6 linked regions of the Macaca mulatta genome follow. The protein of the gene in region 6 purifies or fractionates together with the protein of the main gene of each other region. This does not show direct contact. Links are inferred from orthologs where the notes say so. Each region holds a gene or a part of one and is shown on either strand. Other genes may lie near its edges. The genes, in order: VBP1, PFDN1, PFDN4, PFDN6, PFDN5 and MAPK7.

Region 1 (3,500 bases), on a different chromosome or scaffold from region 6:
GTGGATTGCCTTGGGAACCCAGTAACCATATTTAGTATGATTTCTATGGCAAAACTTGTTGAATTAAAAATAAGTAATAAAATTGATAATCTTGACATACAACCTGTAAAATCATTTTGTGAATAGGATGCATGAATAGGCAATGTATTTGATTGTTAGTATTTTCATATTTACTACTAGGGATGCATGGGAAATGCATAAATGGTGGGCAAAGTCATTCTTCTTTTCCTATTTATAAATAAAAAATGAAGAGGAAAGTGAAAGAATAAGTTAGCTATATAATATATATATACGGTCTGAAATTGTCTCTAACTTTTTATAACTACAAGTTGAGCATCCTAAATCTGAAAATCTGAAATCCAGAATGCTCTAAAATCCAAAACTTTTTGAACACCAATATAATGCTCAAAGGAAATGCTCATTGGAGCATGTTTGACTTTGGATGTTTGGCTTGGGGATGCTCAACTGGTATAATGTAAATATTCCAAAATCAAAAAAAAAAATCTAAAATCCAAAACAATTCTGGTCCCAGGCATTTTAGATAAGGATGCTTAACCTGTACTTTTAGTTAAAAACAAACCTTTGGAGGAAAAGCTGTTTTTCTTTTATGTTTTAAAAACAAAGCAGTCAAAAAATCTGATGAGTGGCATGAATTCTAAAATTTGTAAAGTATTATTTCTGATATTAAAGGAAGATGTAGATTCCTTCATGAAACAGCCTGGGAATGAGACTGCAGATACAGTATTAAAGAAGTTGGATGAACAGTACCAGAAGTATAAGTTTATGGAACTCAACCTTGCTCAAAAGAAAAGAAGGTAAGTGTAAAACTTTCTAAGTTTTGAAAATCGTATATGGCTTGAACTTTAAAAAAATTGAGATATAATTTACATATGATAAAATATTCAGATATCAAGTCCTCCAAGGTGGCTGTACCATATGAAATTCCCACCAGCAATGTACAAGAGTTCCAGTTCCATATCCTTGCCAACACTTGGTATTGCCAGTCTAAATGTGGTTTTGAAAACATAATAGAATGGTTATTAAAGACTGTATTCCAAAGCTTTCAAAATCATAACATCTTATATGTCTAGTTTATCCTTCTAATTTTGCCAACAAGATTAGAGACCCACAGGGTCTGGGGCACAAGACTTAATTAGTTATGAAATCCCAAGATTTCATAACTAATAGGCATAGGAAAAAAGGTATCCTTACTCTCAACTCTTTATTTCCCTACATAATTTTATATAGCTTATAAAGTCAATTCACTGTAATAAATATTTGTAGATCTCTGTTTTGTACATGTGCCAGCATTCTTCTGTGAGATAAATATTTATGGAATGCCAGCTAGATGCCACATACTGTTTTGGGTGAAATAACATCCAGTATCTGCTTTCAACAAGGACACAGGACTGGGCATGGTGGCTCAAACCTGTAATTCCAGCACTTTGGGAGGCTGAGGTGGGAGGATCTCTTGAGTCCAGGAGTTCAAGACTAGCCTGGGCAACTTAGGGAGACCCTGTCTCTACAAATAATTAAAAAATAATTAGGCTGGGCGCGGTGGCTTGTGCCTGTAATCCCAGCACTTTGGGAGGCTGAAGTGGGCGGATTGCCTGAGCTCAGGAGTTTGAAACCACCCTGGGCAACATGGTGAAACCCCCGTCTCTACTAAAATACAAAAAAATTAGCCGGGCATGGTGGCACGGGCTTGTAATCCCAGCTACTCGGGAGGCTGAGTTGGGAGAATCCCTTGAGCCCGGGAGGTGGAGGTTGCAGTGAGCCGAGATTGCGCCACTGCACTCCATCTTGGGCAACAGAGTGAGACACTGTCTCAAAAAAAATAATAATAATAATAATTAGCTGGGTATGGTGGCATGCACCTGTGGTCACAGCTACTCTGGAGGCTAAGGTGGGAGGATCACCTGAACCCAGGACGTTGAGGCTGCAGTGAGATGTGATCATGCCCCTGCACTCCAGCCTGGGCAACAGTGCGAGATCCAGTCTAAAAAGCAAACAAACCACACAAAAAACCAGGGACACAGGTTGGGGGGAAATTATAGGTATATAAATAAAATTAGCACACAAAGTAGAGCAGTGGAGGTACTTCGGTACAAAGTAATGAGTTACAGGGGATGGTAACTCATTACTTTGTACCAAAACACCTCATTAATCTGGAGGGGCCAAGGAGGTTCAGAGGAAGCTTCTAAGAGGAACAGATACCTGTGTAGAATTTCAAAGATTAGTTATGAGTTTGGAGGCAGACTAAAGTGAGGAAGGGTGGTCTGGGCATAAGGCACCATTTATGCAAAGGTACAGAAGTTTGTAGATGTATTTTCTCATTTGATTTTGGTGACAGTTGTAGAAATTTGAATATGTACTTTGTATTAGATGAGATGAAAAGTCATTGACATGGAAAGATGGAGGGTGTAAATGGACAGAAGCAAGATAGAAATCATTAAGAACAGTATACTCTTATTTTGGAAAAAAATGTATATATGCACAGGAGTATCTAGAGAAGTCCACACTAAAGGCATATTAACAGTGGTAATCTCTGGGTAGTTAGAATATGGCATTTTTCTTGTTTTTGCTTATCTGTATTCTTAATTTTTTACAATGTACATGTACTGCTTTTGTGATAGTAAAAGTTTATTTGAAAAAGAAAAAGCCATTGGATTTGAGATCATCTACAGGGAGGTTACAGATAGAGAAGAAAATGTGCCTTGGGGTGGGGTGCAGTGGTTCATGCCTGTAATCCCAGCACTTTGGGAGGCTGAGGTGGGCAGATCACTTGAGCCCAGGAGTTCAAGACCAGTGTGGACAACGTGGCAAAACCCTATATCTACAAAAATTAGCTAGGTGTGGTGGTGCATGCCTATAGTTCCAGCTACTAGGGAAGCTGAGGTGAGAGTATTGCTTAAGCCAGGGAGGTTGAGGCTGCAGTCAGCTGTGAGTGTGCCACTGCACTCCAGCCTGGGCAACAGAGTGATACCCTGTCTCAAGATAAAAAAAAAAAAAAAAAGGAAAAGAAAATGAGCCTTGGTACCGAGTCCTGGGAGAGAGGGAAATTTGTGTATCAAAGTTACATTGCTCTTCTAACTAGTAAATTAATGATAGACGAAAAAAAAAAAAAAGAAAAAAGTTATATTGCTAACTCTACAACTGTGGTATATAGCAGGATACTCACTCTAGCTTAACATATGGTCTAGGCCTAAATGTGGGGAGAAGGGGTAAAAATTCGAAGCACTGAGGAAGCATCAGTGAACATTGGTGTTCTGGATGAGAACAGTGTTTGTCTAGTGTTTTAAAAGAGAATGGTAGAGTTGGAGATAGTGAGTTAGGAAAACTTTCTTGAGTTTTACCTATTTTAATAGTGGGTTGGTTATTTTTTTGAGACAGGCTTTCTCTCTGTTGCCCAGGCCAGAGTGCAGTGGTATGATCACAGCTCACTGTAGCCTTGACCTCCTGAGTTCAAGCAGTTCTTCCACCTCAGCCTCCCAAGTAGT
Region 2 (4,247 bases), on a different chromosome or scaffold from region 6:
TGAGCCGAGATCGTGCCACTGCATTCCAGCCTGGGTGACAGAGCGAGACCCTGGCTAAAAAAAAAAAAAAAAAAAAAAAAAAAAAAAAAAAAAAAAAAAAAAGGGCCGGGCGCGGTGGCTCAAGCCTGTAATCACAGCACTACAGCACTTTGGGCGACCAAGGCGAGCGAATTGTTTGAGCTCAGGAGTTTGAGACTAGCTTCGGCAACAAGGTGAAAACCTGTCTCTACGAAAAATCCAAAAATTAGCTGGGTGTGGGTGGCGCGTGCCTGCAGTCCCAGCTACTCAGGAGGCTGAGGTGGGAGGATTGCTTGAGCACGGGAGGTAGAGGCTGGAGTGAGCGGCGATTGCACCACCGCACTCTAGCCTGGGTGACAAAGCAAGATCCTGTCTCAAAAAACAAACAAACAAGCAAACGTACCAAAAAACAAAACAAAAAACCAAAACCACAAAATATCCAAGTGACTTGCTCAAAGTCACACAATTAGTAAATGGAACCAGACATAAGCTAAAGGTGGACCAAGCCTTGAATCTGGATCAGGCTGGTTCCAAATTCCCTGCCCTTTCATCTCCCTAACAGTTTGTTTTGTTTCTCTCTCTTTCTCTTTCTTTTTCTTTCTTTCTTTCACTCTCTTTTTAAAAAAAAAATAAAATAAATTTCCTAATTGTTTATGTAGCACTTTCTCTTAGCATAACAGTTTTTAGAGTAGGTAAACATTTCTTTTTTTCCATTTCCAAAAGTCAATTATTATCTATTCTTCTGGTTCAAATGCCAGGTCCTTTTATGGCAGAGATTCTCAAAAAAGTGATCCGCAGAGGAGTTGCACCATTAGCTCACTGGGAGAGTTTGCAAAAGTGCAAATTTCCAGACCCCATTCTCAAAGATTCTGAGTAAGTTTGAGATGAGACCCAGAGAACCTGCATTTTTTTTTTTTTTAAACAAACGTATTCAGCCTCTCTTTTGAACCACTGTGCCTAGAAAGTCTTTGGGAAGCTTTTGGAAGTAGTAAGTTCGTCTTGGAAAGAACACTCCAGACAAGCTTTCCGGTAGTCTTTCCCAAACTGTCATGCCTGAGGTTCTGGACTTATTCTTACTGATCCCTGACAGCACAGCGACTAGCTGAAGGATTCTGATCGACTGATGAGGGTTTGACCTCATCTACATACATCCCAGTTTAGCAGCATATACTAAGCTAGCTGGCAAACTGCTTAAAGCCACATGGGAAATCTGCGCGTTGGGCTATGTCTGGAAGATGTGGAGGAGCAAGCCAGACCTGACCGGTCAGATAGTGGAGACACTGAATCCGAAACCCAAATATTTCAGGGGTTAATCAATTCTCATAGAAAGGTAGGAAGCCCGGTTAGTCCAACTCATGCGCAGGCGCAGAAGAAGGACGGATGCACAAAGTGAGGCGCGCCCTTCCCCCACCCTCTTTCAGGCCAACTCCCACTGCGCAGGCGCATACACCAACATGGCTGCCCCCGTGGATCTTGAGTTGAAGAAGGTAAAAGAGGGTCTTGGGCAGGCGGAGGCCTTCTCTTTGGAGGCTGAGGGGACTATAGGCAAGAATATCGAGTGAGGCACGAGCCTTGCATAAGGAAGGAGGGTCCAGTGGACTAGGGAATGGTTTTCCAGAGTCCTAAGGCCGCACTGCGTCTCCGTAAACTGGGGTGGGGGGCGAGCGGCTCTTGCTGGGTAGGAGCCGGTTTGGGTGAGGTAAGTCTGCGGGCCTATCTCGGGCCTGTGCAGTCTTTCTGAGCTCTAGAGAGCTTTCGTTGCGTTTGGAGGCTTCAGGGACTCACTTTCATAGTAAGAACCAAAGAGAGCATTTCAAATGGGGGTGCCTTCGGACCCCTTGCCTGAGTTGTGGCATCCGTAATTCTGCCTCATTTGCTTTGAAAAACTCCAAGTCCAACCTTTGTTTTTAGGCCGTTTATTCGGTTCTATACCTTGAAAGGTTGCGGTATCTACAGTTCGGAAAACCAGGCATTGTAACAGCAATGTTCATTTCAAGATTTGGGCCCTCCCCTTCTTTTTAAGGACTTGTCAAAAAAAAAAAAAAAAAAAAAAAAAAAACAAACAAAACAAAACCTTCTTTTGAAGGACTTGTCAAAAAAACAACAAAACCAGTAAAGTTTTCCAAATAAAACCGGTATCAGAAGGAATTGGGTTTCCTGCTTTCCTCAGTTGCTTATAATGTGTTGTTACTCATATTTTTGCTGTCTAAGAATGATCAGCATTCTAACACCACTAATGACCCCAAACCAGTATGCTTTGTGCGGTGGGGTGGATTGGAAAGGACTCTAGAATTTATCTATTTTAAATCTACTTTTCTAGAAAAGGAACCAGTGCTAGAAGAGTCTGTCAGAGGTTGGGACTAGAATCCAGTATTCTCTGTCTTACCTCACACCTTTTTTGTTTTTTTTTTTTTTTTGAGACAGAGTCTCGCTAGTGGCGCAGGCTGGAGTGCAGTGGCGCGATCTCGGCTCACTGCAAGCTCCGCCTCCCGGGTTCATGCCATTCTCCTGCTTCAGCCTCCAGAGTAGCTGGGACTACAGGCGCCCGCCACCTCGCCCGGCTAATTTTTTGTATTTTTGGTAGAGACGGGGTTTCACCGTGTTAGCCAGGATGGTCTCGATCTCCTGACCTCGTGATCTGCCCGCCTCGGCTTCCCAAAGTGTTGGGATTACAGGCGTAAGCCACCGCGCCCGGCTACCTCACACTTTTTTGACCACTATTTTGGATTCTTCAGATGAGCAACATCTTAGTTAAGACTGTCTCTCTGGTCAACTTGTGCAAAAGAAATAGGACAGCCGAAATAGCTGTTGCTTCTAACAAATGAAGCTTTTGTTATGGTTCTGAGGATATTATGTGTTTGTGTCTTGCTTTTGTTCTTGTCTTGAATCTTGTAAATTTAGCTCTTAGGTGGAATTCCCTCATCTTTAACGGTGTACTAGCTCATCTTTAACGGTATACTAGCTTCCTTAGCAAGCTGTACAGAGCAGTCAGATAATACCTGAAATTTTACATTTCAAAACAAAATTGTGCATTCTAAAAATTTACCTTTTTTTAAATTAAAAGTACCGATTTAAATCAGGGTTTAGTGAATGGATTTTCCTCCTGGTACTTTTGAATTTGTTGCTACATTTGAAAAATGTGGACAGTGAATGCAAACTAAGAAAATGATTACAAACTTAAACTGAATAATTTTGACAAATGATTAATTTAAAAACTTGTTTAAAGGTTTTATCTTCTAATGTTGTTACAGGGTCCGTTTTTTGGGTGGAGACAAATAGGACATTTCAGGCCCCTCCCCTTCTCCAAAGTAAATCTTTCAAAATCTTACTAGTAGGTGAAAACAAGGTCACAATAAAAATTATGTAGTAACCTTTGCTGTACATTGCAGTCACAAATTATTAAGGCACCAATTTGACAGCATATGAAAGTCATTCCAGGCACTTCAACAAGAGTATCCAAGAACTGTTTATTTTCCAGTTAACTAAGTGTACGCAAGGGTCAAATTTGGCCTGATGCAATTATTTTGCCAGTGCTTTGCATTTTTTCTATCTTTTTGGTCTTCCTCTTAAAAATGTTCATATTATGAATATTACTATAGACAGTGGAATGGAAAGATTGCTAAACTAAGGGGTTAGAAGAAATGTCTTTAAATACACCTCCCTTTCCCTCTAATAGTTGTTCAAACTTGTGCAAGCCACTTTTATCTCTTAACTCATTTAGTTACTTAATTTGTAAATTGTGGATGATGAAACTGCCAATGCTAACTCATGGCATTATTGAGAGGCATAAATTAGATATTATATTTCCTCATTAATATTCTTATATTAATATTCCCATATTAATATTTCAAACTAATGTGAGAAAGTGCTTTGAAACCTAATTGTGCAATACAAATGTAGTGAGTTATTACTTTTATGGTTCTTGTTTTGAATCTCTGGGTTTCATCCTTGACTATTGCGTTTATTTCTTTTACTACTCCTTGAATACTTCTTAATATGGTTATTATTTAATGTGCATTTGTTTTGCTTCACACTGTTTGTATCTTCTGATGATTGTAAATTCAGTATTTAGTATAGTGACTTGATCGTTTACAATTATGTTGACTTATTGATATTTGGTAAATTTCACAACTTTGTCTCTGGCTAGCATGTTTTGTTTTAATATATTTGGATTTGACATAAATGTTTCCTGTAAAATGTTTAACCTACTAAATCATGGACTTGTTTTT
Region 3 (4,294 bases), on a different chromosome or scaffold from region 6:
GGGGAGAGCACAAGGTGCTGTAAGGTCTCATTCCCCTCATTGAACCAAAGAGGAAATTGGGACTTTGAGAAAGGAGGTGGCTTGTCAGGGGCAGTTCTCAAGCTGTGGTCCATGAACGTCGGGAGTCCCTGAGACCTTTTCAGGCATCCATGAGGGCCTCCCTTTCCCAACTGCATGATTTGTGTGAGGCTGGGGTTTTTCATACCTACAACTAGACAACTAAACAGTATATTTGGAGAGACTGAATGCAGAAGTACACATGAGAATCTAACCTTCCATTAAGCCTGATATTAAAGACATCAGTGAAAATGTAAAACGATGACAGTCTTCTCAATTTGTTTTTGTCTTAGAAAATATAGGTATTTTTAAAGTGTGATTTTTATTACCATGGAATGGAGTTTTATATTATTTTAAATGAATTAATAACTACATTTTTAAAATTCTGCTTTAATTTCTAATACAGCAAATATCGATAAATAACCCACATAAAAATTCTCTGGAGTCCTCAATAATTTCTAGGAGTACAAAGAGATCCTAAGGCCAAAAAAAAAAAAAAAAAAAAAAAAATTACTAATTGGGAGATACAAGTGTCAGAATATACAGTAACTGTTCAGTAATATTGCTGTAAATTAATCAATAGGATTGCCTATTCACAACAGCAAAGGCATGGAATCAACCCAGGTGCCCATCAGTAGTGGATAGGATAAAGAAAACGTGGTCCATATACACCATGGAATACTATGCAGCCATAAGAAAGAACAAAATCATGTTCTTTGCAGCAACATGGATGCAGCTGGACATCATTATCCCAAGTGAATTAACAAAGAACAGAAAATCAACCACTCATGTTCCCACTTACGAGTGAGAGCTAAACACTGGGTAATCATGGACATAAAGATGGGAACAACAAATGCTAGGGATTCCAAACACGGGGAAGGAGGCAGGGGAAAGGTGTTGAAAAATTACCTAGGGAGTACTATGTTCACTACTTGGGCAACGGGATCATTAGAAACCCAAACCTTAGCGCTATGCAATATATCCGTGTAATAAACCTGCACACCTACCCCCTGAATCTAAATTTTTAAAAAAATTACATTAAAAGATAGGAGCGCCTCCTCCTTTACACCACCTGAATTATCATGGCACGTAAGTCTCACACCCTATTTGCCAAGGCCATTCGTTCCTAGCTCTTTTACAGGGAGGTCAGCTTTCTCAATGCAAGTCTGTGGGACGGATGCAGAAAAATTCCCCCAGCCTCCCCTTTGATCCTGCCCCAGCTGGTCCCCGCCACGCTGAGGGACGCGTACCCTGGGACGCGCACCCTGCTGCCCGCAGCCGGAGCCGTTCGCCACACCCCCGTGTTTATGTCGGCCCACGGGGGTTGCCTGTCCCTTTAATTGGCATGTACCAAGTCTTTCCAGGTCACATTTCCTCCCTACGTCCCAGCCGTTTGGAATCATTAGCCAAAAGTCCAAGAGGAGGGAATGTGGAGACAGTGTTGTATTTCTGCGGGGAGTTCTGGGCCGACCGGGAGCGAGAGAACGCTCGAGGACGAAGCGCGCCATTGCGGCCCTCCCCGCCGCGTGCCGTAGTCCAGTCCCAAGATGGCGGCCACCATGAAGAAGGCGGTGAGTGGGGCGCTCGGGGCTCTGGATGCGCGGGTGGCGCCGAATCTCGGCCGCGGGGGTTGGGGCGCGGGATGCTGGGGGTGCGCAGCTCCGAAGCCCGGCGTGGGACCCGAGGCCGAGGCCGAGGCCCTGAGAGCGGCCCCGCGGCAAGGCCTGCCCGCGCCTGGCGCCCTGAGCGTTTTCCTAGGCACCTGGCCAGCCGAGGCGGGGAGCCGGGGCTGGGGCCGGGAGCCTCCGAGGGCCCTGGGCCGCCTCCCGCGATGCCGAGGGTGCCCCCGGGGAGTCTGAGGAATCTGCAGCCCCAGCCTTGCCCCTAAGGTGTGGGAAGTCGAAGGTCTCGTTGAGTGTGGTTGGCCTTGACTCGGGCGTTGCACCGGCATGATCGCATTAGCCTCATTGGTTATGGGTAGCTGCTGCTGGGACCGTGGTTACGGGTGAGGAAACTGAGGCCCAGAGATGGGAAGTCACCTGCCTCAGGTTACGCAGCTCATAAGGGGGACAGCAGGTTCCTGCATCCCCGGATTATCAGGCCCAAGAGCCCCCGTGTCCAACCCGGAGCTGCCCATGTCCACGCTCTATGCCCCTGAGTCCTCCAGGCTAAAACCAGTATTTATTGAAGACGGACGATCTGCCGGCCCAGCAGCCGGCCCTTTATCCGTTATCCTCCCCGCAGCTCAGCAAGTGCAATGGGTTCCTCCCCACTTTGCAGGTAGAGAAACTTAGACACAGAGCAGTTAGGGGCCCCAAAGTGACTCAGCTAGTAAGAAGCTGAGCTGGAGTTCGAACTCAGGTTTGGTTTGGTTTTTCTCAAAGCACACCTATGTAACCACTAAGCAGGCTAAACTTCCATGTCGGGTTTATAAATCCGTGGCTTCCCAGATGTGTAAAGATAGCTAGACAGAAGAAAAAGAAAAGTGGAGAGGGGGAAGGAAATAACGACTGACAATTTGGGGAGCTTTACAGTGTGCTAGGTATAGCTGTACTTTTTTTTTTTTTGGGTGTATTGTTTATCTTATGTACTTTAGGGGAGATACTGTTTTTATCCTTATTTAACAAATGAGAAAACAGGCACGGAGGCAAAGCTAGCATTTAAACACAGGCATTCTGACTCCGGAGTCTGAGTTTTAAACTGCTATAGGGGGTCTTCCATGAGAATCTCTTGGCTGGCGGGATTTGCATTCATTCCACTTTTAAGACCACATTAGAACTTCCTTTGCTTTACCCCCATCCAGTACCACATAGTCTATGCCATCTGTGCCTGGTGTAGGGTGACCCATTGCCCCGTTTTATATGAAATTGAGGGACTGCCAAAACTGGGAACGCCCCAGCTAACTCAAGATGTGTTGCTCACCCTACTATTCTGCCATCCAAAAATTCTTACTGAGTCCCAGAGTAGGGTCCAGGGCCATGGTGATTCAAAACAGTATGAAACTTGGTGAGATTCACTTCACCTCTAGTTTGTGAAATTGGGCCCTCTGGTGTTAGGTATGGCCTTTAATTCCTTGAAAGATACTAGTTGTGGTTCACTCCGTTTTATAGGTATGGAAACTGAAGTGCAGAGAGGTGAAGTAAATGGTCAAAGAGGAAATGGCAGAAGAATGATTTGAACCCTGGATTTTGATTGCAAAATTTCTAATTATCAACTTTTGTTTTCCCCCTTTCATTGATTCAGTAAATTTTTGGGGGCATGTAATATGGCATAGTCTCAGTTTTAAGTGGAGACAACTGCGGTGACCAGTGAGGAAGTTCTTCTCCCCTTATTCTTATAGCCCCAAAGAACGTATGTTCCAGGACAGAGGCAGGCATTACTCACATAGTCACACAGAAAACTAGTTTCTCTGGTGAGAACTGTGAAGGAAAAGTACTTACGAAATGAGGGCCAAAATGAGGTCTGTTTTGAGATCAGAGAAGGCTTTCCTGGGAAAGTGCCATTTAAGTTGAGATCTGTGAGATTATGTAAGGAAAGAAAGGGAGAGTTGGATAGAGAATGAAGCATTCTAGAGAGGAGTATCTGCAGAGACTCTGAGTACATTTAATACAAGGAAGGCCTGATGGCAGATAATCAGGGGAAGAAAGTTTGAGCCATGATGGGAAAAGAACTTGTAGAAGGGTAGGTGGTGGCCAAAATATAAAAGATCTTCGTTAACTTTGAAGCCTTTGAGAGTCACATGATAGATGTAATGTCCTCCTGTAGATGTTTCCAGTGTTATGAACAATTCCCGATAGATTATCTTACATGTACGCTTTTCCCCTTTGCCCTCAATGGGAGAAAACAAACATGTATGCCAGTGAGTGAGAGTGAGACAGAGAGAGAGAGCCCTTTGAGTTTAATGAAAAGCAAATCATGTACAATCTGGAGTACTTTACATTTGTAACACATCGTTATCTCTCAACTGGTCATGATTTTGCTGGGGAGAATGTTTAGATGAGATGATTCAGTACTCTCATCTCTAAAGTTCTGCCTTCTAAGATCCAGTTCTTGACCATAAGGAGATCTGCACTTTGATTTCTGTTGATTATCCTACATACAAATGTTCTTTCCTCAGAGAGGCTACCTTTGACCTTTATCTAAAGAAGCCTCCTTCACTCCCCAGGCCCCCAAAACTTTCTTCTCCTAAGCTATTGTATTTTCATCATCACGTTTGTCACCATCGAACATTATCTCG
Region 4 (3,067 bases), on a different chromosome or scaffold from region 6:
GGGTCCAGATTAGGGCCCACTCACCCCGGTTCCTCAGCAAGCAGCAGCTCAGAACGAGCAGCTTTGATACTTGTTTCCTCTTCCTCAGCTTCAGCCACCTCAAGTCGGCTTCGAGTTTTGGCTTTAGAACGTGGTAGCTATAACATTGTTGGTGGGGAGGAGTGGCAGAAGAACCATAGGATAAGTGGGGTCACAGGAGAGCTACCTAGCCCAGCCTCCATTCAACTCACCCAGACACTCCCTGCCTCCAACACTTCCCAACTCTCCGGCTGGACCTCACCTTTCGGGATTTGTCAATACGACAGAACTTCTGGACCACCTCCACAGGGACGGGGGCGGGGCCTGGGAATGGATCTTGGGCCTAGGGGAAAGGAGAACGCAGTTAGTAGACAGCCTTGGGTTGACCCCAACCCTTTCAAAGCACAAGGCGGCCTGCCTCGCCACCCATTAGGTTCCACGTTCACCCCGGACAAGCTCCGCTGGGACTCCGGGTTCTTCCACTCTCGGGGTTTCTTCGGGACCTGAGGCTGCTTAGAGATCCGAGACTTCTTTAATATGTGAGCATTTTTTGGTCTCTGAGGACGGAGCTCCCGATTCTTCTTGTTACAAGGAGGCCCTGGAGAGGCTCCGTCTGTGGTCGGAACAGTCTCTTCCTCCCAGTATCGCCGCGGTTTCTACAAGCAGATCAGGAACTCTGATACTCCGCACCCACGCCCCGCCCCCCCGACCCCGCAGCAAAAAACTTCCTTTCCCACCCAGGGAGGCCGATACCTTTCTCTTGGTCTGAAGTTTGTCTTTCTTGGGCGGGACATCCCTGCCCGGCTTGGGGGCTGTCTCCATCTCGCCCATCCGAACGGCGATCCACGTGCAAAACTCCTCTCAGCTGCCCCACAGTCGGCTTGAAAACTCCCGGAAGCCCTCTATCCTTCATCCAATCAGTAGCGTACCAGGTCTGAAGCTCTCTAGGCGCCATCTTGAGTGAGGGCACACTCTCCTTAGAGGGGCGGAAGAGCTCTTGGCACCTTATCGGGAGCGGCAGCTTATGCAAGAGTGACTTACAAAAGAAAGGCAGGCCCGGGACCAGGGGCTAAGTAGCGGTGCGGTTTCTTTTTCCGGGTTAGTTTCCCCATCTTGCCTAAAAATATCCGAGTCCAGTCTTTGTAGCAGAACTCCATTCGCTAAACATGTCAGAACTACACTTCCCATCAAGGGTCAGAAAGAAACTTCCGGCGCAGTCTTTTCCCGGCATTCCTCGTTTACTTCCGGGTTTATTACTACTGAAAGCAGAACGTGAATAGGTTAGGATTTCGGTTGAGAGGCTTACGGTCTTGCGTTTCGCCCACCATATCCTGGGGACGGGGTGGAGTCGATACCCAGGACCGGGGGGAGGTGGCGGTGCCCCTCAGGGCTGCCTCTCAAGAGTGCTATCATTTCCGCAGGCGAGATCAGAAAAGTGAGCTCAGGTACCTTCCAGAGAGTGAGACGCAGCGCCCTTGTCTCGCTCCCCGTAGGCTTTCATCCCCGCCATGGCGGAGCTGATCCAGAAGAAGCTGCAGGGAGAAGTGGAGAAATATCAACAGCTACAGAAGGGTAAGGGAGCAGGGTCGGTATGGCCTCGCCCAATGCACTCACAACCCAAAGCCATTACCGAGATAAGGTTTGTTGCCCCATCTGGGCCCTTGCGTGCAGAGACTTTCCCGCTTCAGTACTCTTCCCTATTCACTGACCCGCTGCCCCCATCTTTTTCTGCTTCCTCAGATCCATATCCACCTGACTAGGATTGATGTTTCTAATCTTGCCTTTCCTCTTATCCCCAGACTTGAGTAAATCCATGTCGGGGAGGCAGAAACTTGAAGCACAACTAACAGAAAATAATATCGTGAAAGAGGTGAGGGACTGGGATTTGTGGGGCGAGGAGGGACCTGTACTAGCCATGGTTCTGATCACGTATGTCCCATCCCTCCATCAGGAACTGGCCCTGCTGGATGGGTCCAACGTGGTCTTTAAACTTCTGGGTCCGGTGCTAGTCAAACAGGAGCTGGGGGAGGCTCGGGCCACAGTAGGGAAGAGGCTGGACTATATCACAGCTGAAATGTGAGTCTTTATTCCACCACTGTGTGCTGCACCCTGTGATGCAGTGAACCATTGGAGTAGAGGTGTTGAACCATTGCAGAACAGCTCTCCATAGTGGCCCCTAGTCCTCCAGTTCCTCCAACCCCTTCCTTCCCTTTTAACCCCCCTTCTCCCTTCCCTAATCTCAAGTTTTCCACCTATCTCTTTCTTGCGTTTAGCACCCTCCTTAGTAAGTCCTACTAATTTCTCCCTTTCTACTTGTCTCCCTTGTCTCTCTTTAGTAAGCGATATGAATCCCAGCTCCGGGATCTTGAGCGGCAGTCAGAGCAACAGAGGGAGACCCTTGCTCAGCTGCAGCAGGAGTTCCAGCGGGCCCAGGCGGCAAAGGCAGGGGCTCCTGGCAAGGCCTGACCCCTTGGTGGGGGGAGGGGAGGGGAGGGAATGAGGCAGCTCTAGCATCTATACTGTAGCTAATAAAATGTAAAAACACCTGGCTCCGTTTCCTGACCAGGCGCTTCTGTCATATCCCCACAGTCCCTTCCACCTTCACACACACCACCTGTATTACCCCCTCAGGTTCAAACTCTTGCACTTGGAACTTCTTTGTGGCACGATGTTCTTTCTTTCTTGAAAGTGAAATCCTAAATGTCCTCAAACCTACTTCTTGCCTGTATATACAACCCTTAACTTTCCCTCATCTTGGTTGGCATGATTATTTTGGAAGGGCATTTACAACATAGCGTATTACTAGGAATGTCAGTTCAATTGAAAAAGAATTCACAGTTCTCTAACCTGAGGCCCCAGGATGAAATGTGGTTACCCTCTTTGCCAGCAGCCCTGGCATCTCTATTGGTACTTTTCAGCCTCTGTCTTCCTAGAATTTGCTTGAATGTAGCTTAAACTGACTTAAAATCCCAGCACGTAATGCTTTGTAGTGTATAAGTCCTCCCAAGTTTATATGTTGTCCATAAAGTTGTTCTGCCATTTCCTTGTC
Region 5 (4,298 bases), on a different chromosome or scaffold from region 6:
CCTCAAACTCCTGGGCTCAAGTGATCTGCCCTTCTCGGCCTCCCAAAGTGCTGGGATTGCAGGAATGAGCCACCATGCCTGGCCAAAACATTTTATTGATTAATTTGTGCTCTATGTGTTGACAATGGTGCTTCCTTGCTGTTCTCCCACCAACTCACTGGCAACGGGTTATAAACCCTTTTTCAGATCCTACTAGGTGTCAGCCTACTTCCGGCTGGGGGAAGATGGTCATAGCCAGAGGGGAAGAATTAGTTCAGTGATGAGAACATGGTTGGTTCCTGCCTTCAACAAGCTTTCAATCTAATGCCTGATTTTTTTTTTTTTTTTTGAGACGGAGTCATGCTCTGTCGCCCAGGCTGGAGTGCAGTGGCCGGATCTCAGCTCACTGCAAGCTCCGCCTCCCGGGTACACGCCATTCTCCTGCCTCAGCCTCCCAAGTAGCTGGGACTACAGGCGCCCGCCACTTCGCCCGGCTAGTTTTTTGTATTTTTTAGTAGAGACGGGGTTTCACCGTGTTAGCCAGGATGGTCTCGATCTCCTGACCTCATGATCCGCCCGTCTCGGCCTCCCAAAGTGCTGGGATTACAGGCTTGAGCCACCGCGCCCGGCCATGCCTGATTTTTTTCAAGAACAATTCAGAACGGTCTGACAAGGGATTTTTTTGTTGTTGTTATTTGTTTTTTTTTCCCTGCCTTTCGGCCTCAGAGGCCATCTGGGAAAAATAGTTTAGAATTTCCCTGCCATGGCCGGGCGCGGTGGCTCAAGCCTGTAATCCCAGCACTTTGGGAGGCCGAGACGGGCGGATCACTAGGTCAGGAGATCGAGACCATCCTGGCGAACACGGTGAAACCCCATCTCTACTAAAAAATACAAAAAACTAGCCGGGCGAGGCGGCGGGCGCCTGTAGTCCCAGCTACTCGGGAGGCTGAGGCAGGAGAATGGCGTAAACCCGGGGGGCGGAGCTTGCAGTGAGCTGAGATCCGGCCACTGCACTCCAGCCCGGGCGACAGAGCCAGACTCCGTCTCAAAAAAAAAAATAAAATAAAATATAAAGAATTTCCCTGCTGTGCGGGGAGGAATATTTGAAATCGGACCTGGCGGGGTACCAGCAGGCAGCACAAGCAGGTGGGGTAGAGAGGGGCAGGACGAGGCCCCAGGAGCCGTCACCATAGCAACCCAGCCTGCTATCTAGTAGCTTATACCACCCACGTGGAGTAGCATACACTACTTTGTAATATCGTGGTTGTATCGTGAGAACTTTAAGATTTTGCAGTTCCCTATGGGCAGGAGTCCTGTTTGCTGCTACTTTACTGTACTAGGCTTAGAATATTTTATGAAAATAACTGACAGATCAGCCTCTGAGAAATTCAAGCCCCTCCTTCCCTTCCGGGACGGAGGATCATAGAGCTGTATGGCGCAGCGAGGCCTCCTGGCGCCATCGAGACGCGCAGAGGACGGCTAGAGCGTTGCTCGCCGAGGGACTTCCTCTTCGTTAGTCCTCCTTCCCAACATGGCGCAGTCTATTAACATCACGGAGCTGAATCTGCCGCAGCTAGAAATGCTCAAGAACCAGCTGGACCAGGTAGTGACGGGCCCCATAGGCACCTCTTTCCCGCTCTACATCCCCCCTGCCCACGCGTACTTCCTTGCGCCCGGTCCCAAGTTGGGAGCCTACCTTGCCCAGGCGAAACCTCTATCCGGTCCCAGGACCCGCCCCCTCCCCGGCCGCTCTCCCTTTTCCCCATAGCCCTCTCATTGACCCGCTATACCCGTTCTCTGTAGGAAGTGGAGTTCTTGTCCACGTCCATTGCCCAGCTCAAAGTGGTACAGACCAAGTATGTGGAAGCCAAGGACTGTCTGAACGTGCTGAACAAGAGCAACGAGGGTATGGGGTAGGGGGGTGAGGGCAACCTAAAGTGGCAAGCCTGCTTCTCTCGTCCCACCTCCTAATCCAGTTTTTCTTACCTGAAACGAGAAAATCCATTACATATCGTATACCGCTTCATGAACCCTTTGCATGTTGCCTACCTAGAATTGAAATGTACAGGACGTTCCTCTGCTTCTATTGCCCCTGTTTCCGTTCTTTTCACACTGTCTGTGGGTGCTGTGCCCTCTTGGAACTCTCTTTAACGTCTTACATTGGAGCCACTAACCTTCCCCAGGTGTTTGTCTTCATTGCTTTCACAGGGAAAGAATTACTTGTCCCACTGACGAGTTCTGTATCCTTTCCACAGGAACGGCTACCTGCTGCCTTCTCCCTTTCTCCCTCACTCCTCCAAAAAGCAGGGAGGGGGATTGTTTTGATTACTTCAGTACTTCAGATTATCCTCTCCCCACAATGATTTTGATAACACCCTTTTTTTTTTTTAAAGACGGAATCTTGCTCTGTCGCCCAGACTGGAGTGCAGTGGTGCGATCTCGGCTCACTGTAACCTCCGCCTCCTGGGTTCAAGAGATTCTTCTGCCTCAGTCTCCTGAGTAGCTGGGACCGCAGGCACGCGCCACCACGACTGGCTAATTTTTGTATTATTAGTAGAGATGGAGTTTCACCATATTGGCCAGGCTAGTCTCGAACTCCTGACCTCGTGATCTGCCTGCCTTGGCCTCCCAAAGTGCTAGGATTACAGGCGTGAGCCACTGCCCCCGGCCAAGAGTACTCTTATTACACACTTTGTAGCTCTTTTATCTAACTTCACACCAACATCCAGCTAATGCCTTGTGAACACCAAGGAGTATGTATAGTTGAGATGTAATATTTCCCTTTGCTATTTGAGAACATTAATATGGAGATAAAGCTGGTGGTTTACACTTTGCTAATATCTTAGAAGATACAGGTAATAGACAAAAATAGGAGGATATAGGAACAGGGAGGTTGGCTCTGTTAATTGTGGCTCATTTCTAAACTGTCACTAAGAAACCTGGATTGTGTCCACTTGTTCAGTGTTTTACTTGAATGAACAAGTTATGGCAGTAGGGCACCTTTAATCTGTAGTCTGAGAACTGACAGGCTAAAAGGAGCACAGGAATAGTAGTGTAGTAGGGAATGGTTAAAAAAAAAAATTAGCCAGGCACGGTTGCTCACGCCTGTAATCCCCAGCACTTTGGGAGCCAAGGCTGGCAGATCACCTGAGGTCAGGAGTTCAAGATCAGTCTGGCCAACATGGTGAATCCCCGTCTCTACTAAATATACAAAAATTAGCCGGGCGTGGTGGCACACACTTGTGATCCCAACCACTCCGGAGGCTGAGACAGAAGAATCACTTTAACCCGGGAGGCGGAGGTTGCAGTGAGCCAATAGCGCGCCACTGCACTCCAGCCTGGGCAACAGAGCGAGACTCTGTCTCAACAAACAAACAAAAAAAGAACTTCGGTAGGAATTATCTACTTCATGATTGAGGGTGTTAAGGGAAATGAGGCTGGCTTTCCACTTGTAGTACTCTACAACAGTAGGAAAACATTATATCTAGTCTTTCTGATGGGGCTAATGAGAAGAATTGCAAGAACTGCTTAGAGGGTGAGAGATGGGATGAGGCAGAACAAAAGGGTGTTCCAGCATACATCATTTTCTCCTTAAAGAACCAACTTCTCAGTCTTCTTTCCATTTGGAGTTATTGTTCTAAGGCCTCCAGATTATTCAGTCCTTATGCCTTGAAGCTTTTTGGAAAAGGGTCTTTGGAGGCCAAGCAGGCTGGCTGGCGGAATCATGGCTCATGCTGGGCTAGTTTTTGCCTTAATACTTGCTTCTCAGATGTATGTCCCTGGGAAGCTGCATGATGTGGAACATGTGCTCATCGATGTGGGAACTGGGTACTATGTAGAGAAGGTGAGTGAGAGCATGTGGATGCCCCTCTGAACAGGGAAGGGAAATTTAGGGGAAGTTCTAGAGTGCAACATGGCCAGAGGGAGTCTCCTTTTAGCCCCTCATTCACCTCTGATCTTGTAGACAGCTGAGGATGCCAAGGACTTTTTCAAGAGGAAGATAGATTTTCTAACCAAACAGATGGAGAAAATCCAACCAGCTCTTCAGGAAAAGCACGCCATGAAACAGGGTAAGTTTTTCCTGGGGCACCTCTTGACCCTGTCTATCTCCATGATAAAGAACGTGGATTGCAGAGTGAACCACGGGGGTGTCCCCTTTGCTGGAGTAAAACTACGTCTTAGTTTCTCTTTGGAATCTTTAGAATCTGTGTATTGCATAATCACTATCTGTAGATTCCTGGGTTGAGTGTTTGAGAAATTTAGAGGAAGGAAATCATTTTTGTGCTTTGGTGGAGCTCCTTTTTAATGAGGATGGAATG
Region 6 (4,275 bases):
TCCACAATGCGCAAGTCCATAGAGACAGAAAGTAGTTCAGAGGTTGCAAGGGCTCAGGTGAAAGAGGAATGAGGAGTGACTGTTAATGGGTATAAACCAAAAATAAAATTAGAATGCCCTTTGCAACCATCTAAATGGACTCCCTCCTTGGCCAGCACACCCTAAAATTTAACCTGAAAGACCAGTTCAGGCCACAGTGGGAGATGGGAGTTGGACATGCCTCATTATACCCCTCCAACATTAACATCAACACAGACCATAAGTCTGATAAGAAACATGTCTATTCTCTCTATAGCTGGCTACTGGTAGGCTTCAACTGCATAATAAAACGTAGGTCTCCCGGCCGGGCGCAGTGGCTCACGCCTGTAATCCTAGCACTTTGGGAGGCCAGGGGAGGGCAGTGGATCACTTGAGGTGAGGAGTTCAAGACCATCCTGGCCAACATGGTAAAACCCCGTCTCTACTAAAATACAAAAAAAAAAAAAAAAAAAGAGCTGGGCTTGGTGGCTCACGCCTGTAATCCCAGCTGCTCTGGAGGCTGAGGCAGAAGAATTGCTTGAATCCAGGAGGGGGAGGTTGCAGCAAGCCAAGATCGTTCCACTGCACTCCAGCCTGGGCAACAGAGCAAGACTCATTCTCAAAATAATAATAATATACTTAAAAAACCCAAAAAACCCTAGGTCTCCACAACCCCTTATCATAATCCAGATATTCCTTTCTATAGATAATAACTCTTGTAACCAACTGCCAATCAGGATATGTTTAAATCTACCTGTGACTTGGAAGCCCCTCCTCTTCGAGTTGTCCTGCCCTTTCAGAATAGACATTGAACAGACATTTCCCCAAAGGAGACAAATGGCCAATAAGCACATAAAATCAATGTCAATCTTGCACGTATTGATTTATGTATTATGTCTTCCTAAAATGTATAAAGGCTGGCTGTGCCCCATCTTGGGCACATGTTGTAGGACTTCTGGAGGCTATGTCACCACCATGTCCTTAACCTTGCTAAAATAAACTTTCTAAATTGACTTGAGACTTGTCTCAGATACTTGGTTCACATAAGTTTCTTTTAGGGGCGATGAAAATGTTCCATAAACCACTCTACCTAAAATTAGGTAGTGCTGATGGCTGCTCAACTGTGAATACACCAAAAAACACTCAATTGTACACTATATATGGTATGTTATTAAAAGTTGTTTAAAAGTGAGGGACCCCTCCAGTTATTGATACGGAATGATCTTCAGGAAAAGAGAATATGTTACATTTTGTACACGAAAGGGAAGGTGGGTACGAATATGTATTTGTATTGCTTTTTTCTATAAGCCGCCTAGGAGTGAAACCAAAATTCTTCACTTCTTTCAGCCCTACCCCGTTCCCTTTAAAAAACCTTTCCTTCCAGCTCACACTATCCACCATATCCATCTTCGCCTCCTGGCACTGAGCCTTAGAGGGGCGGTGCTCCAGAAACATTTGCTACATGAATGAACGAATCAACCATCGGATTTTGGGGTGGGTCGGCGCAGCTCGGTTCCAGCGAGGGCTCCGCCTACCAGCGGGCTCCGCAGAGGGACAGAGGCCGGGCGGCCGCCTCGGTTAACTCCGCTGCAGCCCAAAGCACGGGAAACGCGGGACAAACAAACGAGCGGAGGTAACACACCTGCAGGCCAGGAAACCCCCAGGTGCGGTCCAACTTGGCCGGAACCTGCGGAGAGACTCAGCCACCGGAAGTCAGTGGAGGGTTCGGCCGGCCGCTCTAGAATCCTGGAGGACCGGGATCTCTGTGGTTGGCCGTGACGGGCACCCTCTACCGGGGATGACACATTCCCAGAGCTCCTGGGACCGAGAAAATGGTGGGCACAATTCCCGGGGCGGAGGGGGACTTCGGGACCCAGTAGCCAAGATAACAGTCCCAGTCCCGGGCATCTCAGTCCGGACAGTTGCCCGAGCTCATGGGACTAGCTGTGATTGGCCGGACGAGGTCGAGCGCTAGATGGGGACGCGCGCGCTACGTGCATGGGCGTTGCCTTCCATTCACTTGGCGCCCGACTGCCAGTGCGCATGCGTTTGAAGGCGGTGCCGGGCGGGGAGCACACCCCTGTGAAGTGCCGGGCACCCTTTGGGCGGCTCCCGCCGGCTAGCTGGACAGCGGCGCGCGCCAGGCGTGGCTTCCTCGGCCGGTGGGCTAGGATTGGGCGCAGCAGGTAGAAGGGGCAGGACCCTTCGCAGAAATAGCTCAGCGATTGGCCAGGAGCTGGAGGGAGCGTGGTGTTGGGAGGCGGGGCGGAGGGGGACGGACAGGGCAGCTCACGACGCTGAGGTGGTGGCCGCGGCCCTTGAATAAGTAAGTGAGCCACCCTCGGAGACTCCCGCGCTGGGGACGGGAGGCCGGTGAGCCTCGGGACCTCTGAAAGCCTTGAGGAGGCGCGGGGGTGAGTGCGGCCCGGGGGAAACCCAGGTGCCCCGCCCCTCCCTTTCTTCCTGGCCCGCGCCTCGCCTCCCCATCCCCCGACCCTGGCCTGGCCCCTGCTGGGCCCCGACCCCTGGGGTAGCGTGTTTTCCCCGAACCAACCGCGCGCTTCTGGCCCTTGTCGGTTTAGGGAACTGGGAAGTTCCCTGGTCCTGCTCCCCAGCCCGCAGAGGGGACGCTGAGGCCCACGGGAGGCGGTCCCCTCCTCACCCGAGTCTCCACGCAGACACCATGGCCGAGCCCCTGAAGGAGGAAGACGGCGAGGACGGCTCTGCGGAACCCCCCGGGCCCGTGAAGGCCGAACCCGCCCACACCGCTGCCTCTGTAGCGGCCAAGAACCTGGCCCTGCTTAAAGCCCGCTCCTTCGATGTGACCTTTGACGTGGGCGACGAGTACGAGATCATCGAGACCATAGGCAACGGGGCCTACGGAGTGGTGTCCTCCGCCCGCCGCCGCCTCACCGGTGAGCTTCCTGAGCCGTCGCCTCCCAGATGTGGCAGCGTCGCAGGGAGTGGGAAACCGGCCCGTCCCAGACAGCTGGGAAGGAAAGCGGGGTGCGAGTTCTGGCTCCAGTCAACACACGCTGACCAGGACCCTCTGCCTGCCAGGCTCCGGGGAGGCTCGGTTCTCTGAAACTCTGGCCTGGGGGTTTTGCCATCCTGCCTGCCTACTTCCTCCTTAGAAAAATGACAGTCCCAGTTAGACCAGAATGGAGAGCCATTCCTTCGTGTCTAAGAGACAAATGTGTTCTGGAGCCAGACACTGGCACAAGGAACTGGTGGTGGGATGGGTGAGGTCTGAGATGCAGAGGGTGTAGGCATTAGAGACTGAACTCCACCACTGGGCAGCCGTGCAACCTCCAACAAGTTACTAAGCCATATTTCCTTCTCTTTAACATTGACCTATTGGGACCTGCCCTGTAGGGGAGTTGTGAAGGTCACATTTAATAATGTAGGTAACATGCTTGGCACATAGTAGGTACCCAGTACTTGGTAGCTGTTGTCATTTGCATCCTAGAAGGGAGGTGTTGATAGGGGCTGGGTCGACTCTGCAGTTTCTCCAAGGTATCCTCTGGTGTGTCCCTGTTCCCTGCTCCTCAGGCCAGCAGGTGGCCATCAAGAAGATCCCTAATGCTTTTGATGTGGTGACCAATGCCAAGCGAACCCTCAGGGAGCTGAAGATCCTCAAGCACTTTAAGCACGACAACATCATCGCCATCAAGGACATCCTGAGGCCCACTGTGCCCTATGGCGAATTCAAATCTGTGTAAGAAGCGGGATGGGAGAGGGAGCCAGACTTGGGACTTTTCTGAAGGCTGCACTCATATTGCTGAAGTTCTGGAAGGGCAGCTGAATCTAATCTGAAGCAGGCTGGGAAAATTCCCGCAGTCCTAGGACCAGTTCTCCTTTAGAGTTTTGCCAGGGACAACTGTTATTCCTCAAGAAATGTACAGATGATTTTACAGTTTTATAGAATCTTAGTATGTAGGATGTCAAATGTAGGACATTCCTACTATGACCACACCCTCCTATTCCCATAGCAGACTTCACTAATCAATCACAGAACACTTTCCTACAGACAGTGGACAAGCCTGATCAATTTTCATCATAGTTCTTCAAGCTGCCACTACCAAACAATGGAGATAGCCCCAAAAGGAAACCTATTGGCCAGCCCTGGTGTAGTCCAACCCCATCTTTTATCTGATGGGGAAACTAGGTCTGGAGACAAAAGTGATTTAACCAAGTTCATGGAAAAGTCGTAGAGAATCTAAAACGTGATGCTCTTCTTCCATACCATGCCGTCAG

What was found.
Region 1: the proteins of MAPK7 (region 6) and VBP1 purify together in Homo sapiens (affinity purification with mass spectrometry; 3 studies listed by BioGRID and IntAct, with this or other methods). This does not show direct contact. The link is inferred for Macaca mulatta from reciprocal best matches to the Homo sapiens genes MAPK7 and VBP1.
Region 2: the proteins of MAPK7 (region 6) and PFDN1 purify together in Homo sapiens (affinity purification with mass spectrometry; 3 studies listed by BioGRID and IntAct, with this or other methods). This does not show direct contact. The link is inferred for Macaca mulatta from reciprocal best matches to the Homo sapiens genes MAPK7 and PFDN1.
Region 3: the proteins of MAPK7 (region 6) and PFDN4 purify together in Homo sapiens (affinity purification with mass spectrometry; 3 studies listed by BioGRID and IntAct, with this or other methods). This does not show direct contact. The link is inferred for Macaca mulatta from reciprocal best matches to the Homo sapiens genes MAPK7 and PFDN4.
Region 4: the proteins of MAPK7 (region 6) and PFDN6 purify together in Homo sapiens (affinity purification with mass spectrometry; 3 studies listed by BioGRID and IntAct, with this or other methods). This does not show direct contact. The link is inferred for Macaca mulatta from reciprocal best matches to the Homo sapiens genes MAPK7 and PFDN6.
Region 5: the proteins of MAPK7 (region 6) and PFDN5 purify together in Homo sapiens (affinity purification with mass spectrometry; 3 studies listed by BioGRID and IntAct, with this or other methods). This does not show direct contact. The link is inferred for Macaca mulatta from reciprocal best matches to the Homo sapiens genes MAPK7 and PFDN5.

The regions. Positions count from the first base shown.
Region 1 is NC_133426.1:161,513,092-161,516,591, forward strand, and holds part of VBP1 (prefoldin subunit 3), read left to right. Parts: intron 1-690; coding exon 691-815; intron 816-3,500. UniProt on the Homo sapiens protein: Binds specifically to cytosolic chaperonin (c-CPN) and transfers target proteins to it. Binds to nascent polypeptide chain and promotes folding in an environment in which there are many competing pathways for nonnative proteins.
Region 2 is NC_133411.1:149,161,822-149,166,068, reverse strand, and holds the start of PFDN1 (prefoldin subunit 1), read left to right. Parts: upstream 1-1,447; 5' UTR 1,448-1,472; coding exon 1,473-1,505; intron 1,506-4,247. UniProt on the Homo sapiens protein: Binds specifically to cytosolic chaperonin (c-CPN) and transfers target proteins to it. Binds to nascent polypeptide chain and promotes folding in an environment in which there are many competing pathways for nonnative proteins.
Region 3 is NC_133415.1:107,034,852-107,039,145, forward strand, and holds the start of PFDN4 (prefoldin subunit 4), read left to right. Parts: upstream 1-1,494; 5' UTR 1,495-1,604; coding exon 1,605-1,628; intron 1,629-4,294. UniProt on the Homo sapiens protein: Binds specifically to cytosolic chaperonin (c-CPN) and transfers target proteins to it. Binds to nascent polypeptide chain and promotes folding in an environment in which there are many competing pathways for nonnative proteins.
Region 4 is NC_133409.1:148,999,055-149,002,121, reverse strand, and holds PFDN6 (prefoldin subunit 6), read left to right. Parts: upstream 1-1,268; 5' UTR 1,269-1,298; exon of another isoform or gene 1,299-1,511; 5' UTR 1,512-1,526; coding exon 1,527-1,590; intron 1,591-1,817; coding exon 1,818-1,888; intron 1,889-1,969; coding exon 1,970-2,094; intron 2,095-2,354; coding exon 2,355-2,484; 3' UTR 2,485-2,567; downstream 2,568-3,067. Other genes in the region: WDR46 (WD repeat-containing protein 46), read right to left, coding at 25-137, 281-361, 465-674, 772-849. UniProt on the Homo sapiens protein: Binds specifically to cytosolic chaperonin (c-CPN) and transfers target proteins to it. Binds to nascent polypeptide chain and promotes folding in an environment in which there are many competing pathways for nonnative proteins.
Region 5 is NC_133416.1:60,439,652-60,443,949, forward strand, and holds the start of PFDN5 (prefoldin subunit 5), read left to right. Parts: upstream 1-1,498; 5' UTR 1,499-1,510; coding exon 1,511-1,582; intron 1,583-1,782; coding exon 1,783-1,885; intron 1,886-2,187; coding exon 2,188-2,219; intron 2,220-3,748; coding exon 3,749-3,823; intron 3,824-3,943; coding exon 3,944-4,049; intron 4,050-4,298. UniProt on the Homo sapiens protein: Binds specifically to cytosolic chaperonin (c-CPN) and transfers target proteins to it. Binds to nascent polypeptide chain and promotes folding in an environment in which there are many competing pathways for nonnative proteins.
Region 6 is NC_133421.1:20,590,953-20,595,227, forward strand, and holds the start of MAPK7 (mitogen-activated protein kinase 7), read left to right. Parts: upstream 1-1,475; 5' UTR 1,476-1,816; coding exon 1,817-1,853; intron 1,854-2,053; exon of another isoform or gene 2,054-2,432; intron 2,433-2,600; exon of another isoform or gene 2,601-2,696; coding exon 2,697-2,933; intron 2,934-3,570; coding exon 3,571-3,736; intron 3,737-4,275. UniProt on the Homo sapiens protein: Plays a role in various cellular processes such as proliferation, differentiation and cell survival. The upstream activator of MAPK7 is the MAPK kinase MAP2K5.